Linked DNA regions of Drosophila melanogaster. The protein of the gene in region 1 interacts with the protein of each later gene in a pairwise test. Each region holds a gene or a part of one and is shown on either strand. Other genes may lie near its edges.

The links. Proteins that work in one complex are often made in the same cells at the same time.
Region 2: the proteins of Ir54a (region 1) and Ggt-1 interact in a two-hybrid assay, tested with the Drosophila melanogaster proteins (one large-scale study listed by BioGRID).

What each region holds. Positions count from the first base shown.
Region 1 is NT_033778.4:17,742,516-17,746,546, reverse strand, and holds Ir54a (ionotropic receptor 54a), read right to left. Parts: upstream 2,447-4,031; coding exon 686-2,446; 3' UTR 575-685; downstream 1-574. Other genes in the region: sub (subito), read left to right, coding at 1-369, 428-574; Vps50 (vacuolar protein sorting 50), read right to left, coding at 3,102-3,495, 3,563-3,675, 3,734-4,031.
Region 2 is NC_004354.4:18,506,515-18,514,250, forward strand, and holds the start of Ggt-1 (gamma-glutamyl transpeptidase), read right to left. Parts: upstream 6,008-7,736; 5' UTR 5,535-6,007; coding exon 5,530-5,534; intron 2,168-5,529; coding exon 962-2,167; intron 143-961; coding exon 1-142. Other genes in the region: CG6470 (uncharacterized protein), read right to left, coding at 6,675-7,315.

The DNA of each region.
Region 1 (4,031 bases):
CCTCTGGATAAATACTACGAGGAGAACCTGAACGTCTTGAACTTTGCTTCCATCGCCAAGAACATCATCTTCAAGGAGCCCGTAATTAAACAGCATCGCGTCAGCTACTGTGGTTTCATGGAATTCTCAAAGATGTCGACGTGCGAGGGCGGCGACTACACCAAGGAACTTGAGGACGAAAACGTGCGCCTGCAGTTAGAGATTGAGCAACTGAAGTACGATCATGTGCTGCAAATGCAGCTGCTTGAGGAGAAACTGCGAAGGGAACTGACTGCCACCTACCAGGAGATTATCCAAAACAACAAGAAGCAATATGAAGACGAATGCGAGAAAAAATTACTAATTGCGCAAAGAGAATCAGAATTTATGGTTAGTAAATATAACAATATAATATAATAGTATATAATATAAACTATATATTTAACAGCTTTCCTCTCAACGCCGAAGGTATGAAGAACAAATAGAAGACCTCAAAGATGAGATAGAGGAACTTAAGAATCCTGCAAGCGACACGGACATTTCTGATGATCCAAACGAATCTAAGTCTCCCATCGAAATCCTCGATGATGATTAGTTTCTTTAATTCACAATTTTTAATTTGTTAAGTGTTAGTGATTTTAAAATTTAAATTTGAAACTTGATATGTTGCAGAGTTGGCCACGTTTTCCAATAAACATGTGAATGATCAATAAACTAGTGACACAAATAATGATGTGATTCTGTGCCAAGAAACTTCGAGCAAGAATACCAGAATCGCAATTACCATAAATGTTCCGTACGCCTGCCACATCCACTGAAAATCCACAATCCTTAGCGAGGTAGGGTGCTCTCTTTCCTTCAACTGCAGGCTGGGATCCTCCAGACCGGACAATCCAGCTGCTGTCATGTCGTAGTAGTGCATTCCCACCCAGAAGTCATAGAGTCCATTGGCATTTACCTCCAAAATAAGTTGGCTGACGGGCTCTGTGAACAAGGAATTCTGCGGCCATTGGAAAGAGAGCAGCGCCAGGGACCACAGGCAGTCATCCGTGGAGTAGATAAACAGCTCTCGGGTGAAGCGCTTCTGCTGCTCACTGAACAAATTCCAATACAGTCGGGAGGCGAAGTAGGCATTGCTTGTGTTCCTTCCATTCCTCAAGTGATTGTACTCACTCACATTGACCACCAGCATGGGCACACGCAGTTTCATCCATGTGGGAAAGTCTTCCTCGGTCGTAACCAATGGTATTTTCGTGCGACGCAGACCAGCGAAACTTCGTGCTTGAAATTGCCGTGGTGGATGAGCCATTAATGTGTCCAGTCCCGCTCCAAAAATGCTGCTCACATTAAGACCCACTATTCCAAGCATCAGAAATATCAACCTGGTGGAGAAGCTTCTCGACAAGGGCAAATTGAAGGATTGGCCCAAGATTCCGCGTAAAGCTTTATCATTTAGCACAAAGTCCACCAGACGCACATCGCGATGGGTCATGTTTCGAAGGAGATTCAAAGCCAATCCATAACTGGAAACAATAACAATAGCCAGGAACATATTGGAAGCACTGCTCAGGATAAAGTAAATATCCTTAATTGGAATTCTTCTGGCCACCGGTACCATAAGGCAGACGTGGGTCACCTCCATCGGATAGCTTGTGCTGGCCAACTGCTCGACTCGCTCCATTATCGTCAGACTGGCAGGAACATCAACTGAAAAGCTCTCGCTCAGCTCCTTGAGGGCAGTGGCATTTAGAAAGCGCCCGGTGGTCACCTTCTTGGACAGCTGCAGCGTGGCGTTCAGCTTCCACGACAGCACGTGAAAGAAGCGTCCCACAGATCCGGCTAGGATTTGCTTACCCGTTCGTCTGTCCACGTAGAGAACGGAACGCGGAAGCCATTGGTCGGGCATAACAGTAAGAGGGTGACCGTGCATGTTGGGAAAATCCTTGTCGAATATGGTTGAAGATTCAAGAGAGCGATACTCCGTTCGGAAGCTAGGATATAGGTGATATCTATAAAAGTAACGATGTTCATCTGAAGCTAAAAGTCCAACAATGTTCCAAATTCGGCGATGATAGCACGTTTCGAAAATATAGTCCATTCTAGTTGGATCAGAGAAATTGTTTGATATATAGACAATCTTCTTCTGACTCGGAAAATCCATTAGCGAACTCGTAAAGTTTTCGAGTAACGCCAGGTCCTTTTGCAGCTCATGTCCAGGCAGGCAAGCTACGTGTAGCGGCCGAGAAAACATCCGAATGTTTATAAAAGTCTCGCTATCTGAAAGGACAACCACTGGAATGGTTTGATTCTCAAAGATATCCTTTGCCCAGTTGTACGGACAATAATCAATACGAATCATTATTACTGAGAGCGAGTGCTCCGCTGCTGCTCTAAAGATGAAGTCCACAGCGGATCCCGCAACCAGGACGGGTGCCCATAAAACTATTCCTGTTATCACTGTCCACATGTCCTTTCAATTATGTTGCCCATCAGACTTAGCTGCTTTATTTATATTGTGCGGGAACTGCTCCAAGTTGAAGGGAAATGCCTTGTCAAGCTTTTCACGCCCTCGATGATAAGACACAATTCGCATTGTTTGTAATATGCATATCTCAAAATATGTATTCTTTGTTATTTTGTTACAGTTGCTAAATAGTTAATGGTGTGTGATCGTGGGAGGCGCGCAAATCAAATCGATACGCTGCCCCTTACATTTAAGTTGTTTTACAATTATTTGTCTGTTTCCTGCTGCAAATAAATATTACAAATAAATAGGTATCTTAATTATACGTGTTTTGTGTGTACATATATATATATATATGTCTGTTTTCTCTAGGTACTTAAGTCATGGTGAATGGTAAACCAATTGCCAATTATCAATTAGAAAGATTATAGGATAGATTGCACTTAAGGAGGGTTTGGGAGATTCTAAATTTGAAACGAAGTACTTCATGGAGATCGCCTGTATAACTAAGGTAGAATCATTAGCCTTAAACACAATGTTAATTTGAACTAAACGGAATGTTAATTACACGTAAAGAATGTCATGAGATTGATCTACTAACAAAGTTAGTTTGGGGTTATAACAAAATAAATACAATTAAATAATCGTTCGGGGGAGCTCAGATAACGCTGCTTAAATTTGAGCCGGCTACGGATCCGTGGTTGTTCTTCTGCGGTGTTGTTGTCGGCGTCGTTGACATTGCTATTCCATTTTGTATTCCAGCGTCAAGCAACTGTAGCAACCTTTGTCGCGTGCGTTTATCGCTGACACAAATACAATGAATAAGGTTGTTCAATTGCTTGAGAGAGTATTCATCGCCCGTACGCTGCTGTTCAATCCATTGCTCGAACTGTTCGGGCGCAAAATAGTAGGTCTTGATGAACACATCCACATAGGAGCGATGCTGTGGGTACTTTTGGTTCGATATGAGCTCTAGGAACGACATAAAGTTCGCAAAATCCAGTTGCATAAGCGCTCGTCCTCCGGCAGAGCATTTCTTCACATTGGAGAACCTATAACATAATAAACAATAACTATGTAAAATCAGATCCTTCTGAGAAATAGAAAATAAGAACGTACCCCTCCACCAGCAGATGCGTGGCCACATGGGCCATTGAATTCCACACTTGCTTGCTGGGCACTGGAACCTCCTTGGCAATTTCCTCCAGACACATGGCGAAGCTTTGTATGTTCTGCATATAAATGTGGTTAGTTTGTGTAGTGTATTAAGCATTATTTAGCATTTCCCACCCTATTTAGAACATCACTGTAGTTGCTGTGCTGGTGTATCACATGATTAACATCCCATTTGACCTTGGCCATCTGAGCCAGAATGGATGACAAATCGATGACGCGCGACGTGACGCATGTGTAAACGAGTTTAGCCAAGTCCGCAATATAATCGCTATAGTCCAGGTAACTGGCCAGGATTGGACGCTCTGCAAGGGGCAGCAAGTGGTTCAGATAGTGCTGAAGGACGTTGAACTGCTGAAGCATGCTGCGACCCGCTTCCACGGCCACGATGCGTTGTGACAGTCCGTATAAGGTA
Region 2 (7,736 bases), on another chromosome or scaffold:
CATGGGACGCTTGCCGGGATAAATGTAGTTGGCCGGCGAGGCGGGCACACCGAAGCCATTGATCACGCCCGGCGTGGAGAAGTCGTCCATCTCGTCGTTCAGAATGATTCCCGTCTGGGTGGAAGCCACCTTGGAGCCGAAACTGTAAAGGGTTTATATGTGAATATAGGTAATATACAAATGAAAGTTAATAAAAAGCGCGAACTCTTGAGTTGCACTTTCCTAGGCCTTAGTCCAGACTCAAACCCGACCTTATAATATTGGTATATGGGAAAACCGCTATTCTAAACCACTATTTACACACAAATACAAAAGATTTTTCGGTGATAGCCCATTGTAAGCCTTTATGTGTATAGACAATTTTTGGACCTCCTTACACCTTTACCTGCTTACTTTATCCGCAGCATTTGCAAGTCAATTAAAAACCCTGAACGATGGCTAGCTCGTTGAGTATCAACAACTTCGTAGCTAGCGACACAAATTGGTTTCTCCACCAAGGTGAAAAAAAACCAAGAGTTTCCCCTGTCTTTCAAATGTGTGTGTTTGTCAATCGAACCTGCAGCTTCGATTCAAAAGCATGGTGGGAAAGGAGAATGTTAATATATGTGTGTGCACCGCTCACATGCACTGTTTTGTTTGTGGGAGAGAACTCTCACCACTCTTGCTGTTGCTTCGCACATGTTGGGTATGGTGAAAAGTGTCATCTAGCTTCCAACATGGTTGCGCACAGGTTCGGCCAAACCGAATGGTGTCTCTACACTGGGAAAAAATGTGCGAGCACTTTTCGTGTGCTTGCAATTAAAATAAATTTCAAAATAATTGTTTTCTGAGTTAAATTGTCTAGGAGTTGAGTGTATTGCGAATTCCATAAATCCCCAAATATCTATCTGAATACCCATCCTTAGTTCGTAATCCTTAGTAAATCCCTAAACACTAAATATGAAATTCTATGAACACTTACTAGTTATTGATGGTACTGGTGATGGACACGGCGTCTCCATTGGTGGCCAAGACATTCATGTGGGCGGTGCCATGGTCCTCCTCCACGGTGAAGTTGGCGCCATAGTAGAGGTAGTCCTCCGAAGTGCTATTGTCGTGGATCAGCTTCCTTACGCTCTCCAGGAACTCCGGCTTGAGCATCTCCTCCAGGGTGGCATTGATGGACGCGGCGCTCACGGGATCGGCATACATATCACCCAGATTGGTGCGCTGGCCATAGGCGTGTTTAAAGGCCTCCACCACGCGCTGCCAATAGATCGGCTCATTGTCCGTATAGAGATCGGCCATCAGGTTGAGGATGAAGGCCAGAACGGGTCCGCTGCTGGGCATGGGCGTGGAATAGAGCGTGTACGTGCCACTCACATGGGCCGACACGTGTCCATCGCTCTCCCAGCGCACCGTGTAATCGCGCAGGTCCTGCTCCGTAATGATGCCGCCCATCTTCTGGATATCCTCGACGAACTTGCGACCCGTCTCGCCGCCATCGTAGAACTCCTTGGCTCCATTCTCGGCAATCCGCTCCAGCGTGTCGGCCAGCGCGGGACGCTTCATGTAATCGCCCTCCAAGTGGGGATCACCGGTTGCGTTGAGGAACACGGCCGAGAGCCCGGGATCTGCCTTAATGTTATCCAGCTTGGATTGGATGGCGGCGGCCAGATAGCGCGAAACAACATGACCCTCGCGGGCCAGCTTAATGGACGGCTCGAAGAGGCGTTTCCAGGGCAGGATGCCATAGCGACGATGCATCTCCCAGTAGCCAAGAATCTCGCCGGGCACCGCACCCGATTTGGCGCCCGTAATCGACGTCTCGCCCACGAACATGTCCTTGTGCGCGGCCGCCGGTGCCGATTCCCTGGCAATCACCGTCTCCACCTTGCGGCTACTTCGCGTATATATGGTGGCCACGAAGCCACCGCCAATGCCCATTGAGTGCGGCAATAGCAGGCCCTCGCACAGCAGCGTAGCAATGGCTGCATCCACGGCGGAACCGCCATCGGTCAGCATTTCACCGCCGACCGCAGCACATCCGATGCCATTGGACACCACGGCTCCGCTGATGTACAGCGTGTCCCGATTCTTCAGACCGAAGACCAAGCCCAGAGTCAACGCCGTCACCATGAGGGCAGCCAGCAGTAGCCATAGCAAGAGCTTCTTACTCCACACAATCCTGCAAGTTGAGAATCTCATTAGAGTCAGACAATCAACGGATGCGATCGCGATCTCGATCGCCATCAGTGGCCCCAGGCCCTCAAAACTGAAGAGCTGGAGGACCTGGTCGAGTGGAGTGGTGGATCGGCGGTGTCGATTAGCTTTGATTTTGGACGCCGCTATCGGAAAACAGCCAATTCGCCGAGTCACTCGCTGGCAGGCCGCCTCGACACGGTGATACCCTACATTTCGATTTACGAACATGCTTAAGGTAGACAAGCTCATCGCAATATGTTAGTAATTCTTAAAGTTGAAAATTCTAGATGCAAATCTTCTACTGAAACGATACTACTACTACACAAGATAAAACTAAAGAAGCGCTTAACTGGTTTATATACACTATTATACTTTCAAAGCATAATATCTATATATTTAAGAGTAAGTCATAAATTTAAATAGGAGTCTAAAGTAATGGCTATACTTGAATTATGTGTGTTATTATATAAGATTTATAATGGTCACGATGGCCAGAAGTAAACAAAGTGTGAGATTAGAATAGAACGGTCTATTTGCCAACTTGATAGCCTGGATTGTAATCTCTGGACATGGACACTAGGGCACTAGTTAAATCAAATTAGCCGAATCATTGCGATCGATCTATCTGGAAAGCAGGTGAATGAAAAGCAGCTATCTGCAGATTCAGTAGCTGCCCACTATAAAGGCTATCCACAATCTACGGCCGCAGTTGAGTGATTGCCCCGCTGTGTGGAGTGTCCCATGACAAAGGGATATTCGTAGGTGCGCTTAGGCGCAGTCATGTCCACGTACCGGATGAGTCCGGACATACCCTCCACCATCTGTCCGGGGCGAGGGTGACGACTTATCGGCAATGGATGTGGAGTGCCCAAGTCTTCGATAACGTGCCATAAAAATGCCAAACAGAGATCGTAAAACTCAAGCGCTATTAACAGGCAATTTTCTATAATTAACGTAGATTTCTACGGGGGGAAAGTCGCAAGTACTTCGATTTAGTGGCCGTAACGCCGAAAAATGCGTCCTCCACATTCGCGATCCCAAATATTTCGATCGATACGATCGATTATCGCGTCCCGTCTGCAGATTAAGATCCTCAAGGGCCATCGCTTTGCAAATCCAATGCTCCATTTCTGCCCCGTCATTCGGTATGGTAAACCAACTGGATCTGCATATTATTATTATTATTATTATTATGTGCGGTTATCGTTCGACGATAAGATTCGGTTCATTCAGGCACTACACTCTCACTCCTTGTTACTTCACCTTTAATGGATTTACTACCATCGGTAGCATTGTGCTGCCTCCAATTGATCGGCAATTGTGCCATTGGCCAACTGGTCGGCTGGCTGGCCGGGATTATAGCCCCTTTATCCGCCTTTATCAGTGTGGGCATTTTCGGAATTTCAAAGTCGAGAAACCGTTGGCCGTAAAAGTTTATGGAAATGTTCTTTGAACCGATGGAGAAATAAAAATTCCGAAATATTCTCAAAACACTTGCGAATGCACTTGATTCTGAAGAGATCTTTAAACAACTGATAAAAGGTGATCAAACTGTTTTCACGGAACTCAAGTGCTGCTGTTTGTTATATGGCAAAGTACCCTTACCACATATGTATTTTAGTTAATATGTTACGGATGGCATCTTTTTTTTCCAAGATGAAAGCCTCCTGCTCCGCGAAGATATCTAGTGATCTCCGGAATGTTGACATCGTTTAATTACCAAAGATCGCAGCTGCGACATTGTACAAACGGTTTCAATCAGAAAACAGTCAGCACATTTCCATTTATCAGTGCTTTTTTTTCCCCTCGCCAAATGTGCCCCGTCATCAAAATCGAATCGTGTCTGCAGCGGAGCTCGAAGATAAGTCAGTGACGTTGCCGAGAGGAACGAAAGTCATCCTTGGCCGATTGGCGGCAGGTGCGGATCGGATGGGATCTACGACGATACAGGTGGATGAAGTGGGGGAGTACGTGTAGTAGCGTATGGTGCAGTGCTCATTTCCAGCGATAATTGCGCTGCGGGTTCTCACGAATTATGCAAAATACCGGCGGGGGGATTCCTCGACTGGAAACCAGTTTCCATAGCCGTTCGCTAATCAATTTTATGACCATAATAGTCGCATTTCAATGATTTCAATGGCACTGCCTTCGTGGGGGTCGCAGGCCCCAAAAAAAAAAAAAAACAAAAAATTCACTGCCATGTGATATCCCAATCTTATCGCTGTATATATCCATAAATTGCACCGGCTGTCAATGATCCCCGCTGAATGAACGGTCCTCAAAAAATTCGCGTGTTTCCTCTGCGGGCGCCATAAACTTCATGCCCCTTATAGCTGACCGTATCTGAGCCATATCTGAGCCATGTACACGGTACTATATCTTATGGGGCGTCGTAAAGTGGGGCAATCAAGCGCTAAACCCGCTAATTGCCCACATTCGACAGTTTTGATAAACTTGTCTTGGAACAAACGCATTGCCATGGATATGACGCATTTCGGGTGTCCTGAGATTCGGCCAACAGAGGCGGTCACAAAAAGAGCGCGCCAGTTGGATGACCGAAAATCGGATGTATCCATTTCAGCTGGACAATCGAATGGGGGGGGAGGGGGAGGGGGAGCACATGTGTGCACATTACTTAACGATGTCGTGCAAATGGGCAGATCTACCGATATATCTTATCTGACACGATCTGGGGTGTTGGCAATGCTATGCGACTTGCCGCTAAAATAATGGGGCAACTTAATTGCGGCGAGCAGAGATACCGATCTCGATCTTTCAACTTGCTTAACGCCAAATGTCTAATATCTAATAACTGAAAGTGACTAAATGATTTGTTGTGCTTTTTGTACGTTTTGTATTTACACAAGTGCACAAATAATAATAATAATAATAATCGGTTCTGTTCGGTTCGATTTTGTGGTGGCAAAAACGTGTAAAACTTTGAAACTGGGCTTACTAGCGGAACCAAAAGTTATTATAAAAAAAAACAAAAAAAAAAGCTCCACGAGTAATAATTTCTCTATTAGGCTGCATTTTAAGCCATTGCAAATTAAAGATTTGTGTCCAATTTGAAAACCGTGTTTTGGTTTCGCATCGAATTTGCACAGGTGAGACATTCATTAGAATTTTCACAGTTAGCGAAGTTAATTGTGATTTCACTGTCTCAAGGTCTACCGCACTTTTAAATATCAATATGGGCTTATTAAATTAGTTGTATACTGCAATAACTCTCTTAACTCGAAGCCAATATTATGGCGGTTATGGTCCAAAATATCCTGGCGGTTCGAGTTACAGAGTCTCCACTGTACACCGATTGCATCTACCGTTGCTTTAGTCCACTCTTACCTCATTGTCCCCGTTTGCTATGGCGAATTTCGTATAATATTGGTTGACTATTGGAGCTGAGCCGGAATAAGTTGGTCGCCTTGGCCACGGAAACGCACAGAGGCACAGAAACACACAGAAAAAACAAAGAGTCGCGAAAAGCACGGAAAAAATTATATATGAACAACAGCGGACAGATGTGCTCTTCTATGTTCTCCAAAGGCCACCGACGACAGACAGTCCCAACAAGATTCCGTTCGATTCCGGCAGCTCCCGCCTGTGACCACCAGCACCTGTTGCGATCGACTGATGGCTTCGATCCGCCCGAGTTGCCGCTCATCGCCTATCTTGTATTCCCTGCACACGACCCACTACCGCCAACGCCACCGCCGCCGCCGCAAGCGCGAAAGAGATAGCGCACAGAAACTTTGAGCTTGACCGCCAAAGCTCGGCACGGAACGGAACGGTGAACGGTGAACGGTAAACGGTAAGGCAAGGTAGCGCCGGTGACGCAACGGACGTGCGTGCAGTCAGCTTCATTGAGCGAATGTATCGATGCACAGCTATCGTATCGATTGCTCGAGCTGGGTATCGAAGCGCTTCTGTAATACATCGATATCATTCTTCTTTACATATTAGATAGTGGACTAGAGAGGAAGCGATTTCTCATCGATTTTTTCGATAAATTTAAAAATATATATACCCATTTTAGTATCTTATTATGCTTTTAAAGCCTCAATGGATTATGATTCTTTTACCTTTCCGCCAAGTATCTAAGAAATGACAATTCATTGCAAGTAAATCTTCTGTTTAGTTCAAATATTTAATTATATTCAATACATTTGCATCAACGTGCTGGGGACTCTTAATTTAGTTTTAATTGACCGTCGTTTGTGGAATGTGACTATTCAACGCCAGTGTGTGTTTCGGTCTTCAGAACAGGTGAGTCTCCCACTAATCGTGTCATTGTGCTCAATTCATACTTCTAATAATTTTGCCTTCAATTCCACAAATTTTGATGATCCTGGTAAACAAATCAAATACAGTTGAGCTGCATACGCCCTGCACTTGACAATTTTCCTTTCGTTTCAATGGATTCTTCTGGTGTTTGGAAGCAAGCGTTGGTTCTGCATCCAGTTTCTGGTGAAGATTGGTAATGAGGACGACTAGCGCCAGCGCTCGTGCACTGCCGACTCGCGCATGATAATCTTCTGAAGTTTTTCCTGCTGGGTCATCTGATCCTGCTGGTTGGTGGCACTGTTTCCCTGGTGGTGAACCGGCTGCTGCGCCCGCTGAAAGTTGGGCAACGGCGCCTTCTTCTCGTGCGCCAGTTCCGTGAAGGCCAGCTTGCGGCGCTGCTGCGGCGGTATCTTCTTGCAGTAGCTCAGCAGATGGATGTGCAGCGTGCGTTCCAGGTCGAAGGAGCGATCGCAGTACTTGCACAAATGGACGGTGGTCAGGGTGGTTCTGCTCTCCCGCGGTCGCCGTGCACGGAAGCGCACCTTGAAGTCATCGTCGTGGGTGTGCCGGTGGGCGCCCAGCAGCGATCGGATGTGAAACTTGGCACCGCACACGCCGCACGAGTAGCTGGGCAGCTGCTGGTCCGTGGCATAGCTGCCCAGCGGCTTCAGCTGCAGTCGGCCAAACGGTCCGCCCTGATACTCCCCGCCATCTCCTTCATCATGATCGGGCTTCGTCGTTCCGTTGGAGGCTTGCTGTGCGGCCATAATGGCTTCCATTTCCGCTGCCTCGGCCTCGGCCTCGTAGTTCCGGGGCGTGAGGCCATTGCGACGAGGAGATAGCAATACTGTTGGAGAATGGAGAATGGAGAATTGGTTAACTCAATATGAGATCTTAAATTAATATCACTTTTAATATACTATATTAATCAGTTAAGTACTATATACCAAATTTGGTGTTAGTAGCTTTAATAAGGCCCAAGATCATATAGATAACAGGTGTCCAAATCGATTATATTTAATAACCTACAATTGTAATCGTTGTTTTAAAATAAATTGCACTTGAAACTTATGTTTCGTGATTTATATGAGTATAATAAACCAATAAAGTACTGTACACCAAATTTGGTGTCTCTTGCCTAACTAAGCACCAAGATCATATAGAAAGAAGGGTCTTAAGTAGATGATATATGTAATGATGATAAATATATACTGCTGTTTCAAGATTTTAAAGAGTTCTAATAACCAATAACGTATTGTATACCAAAT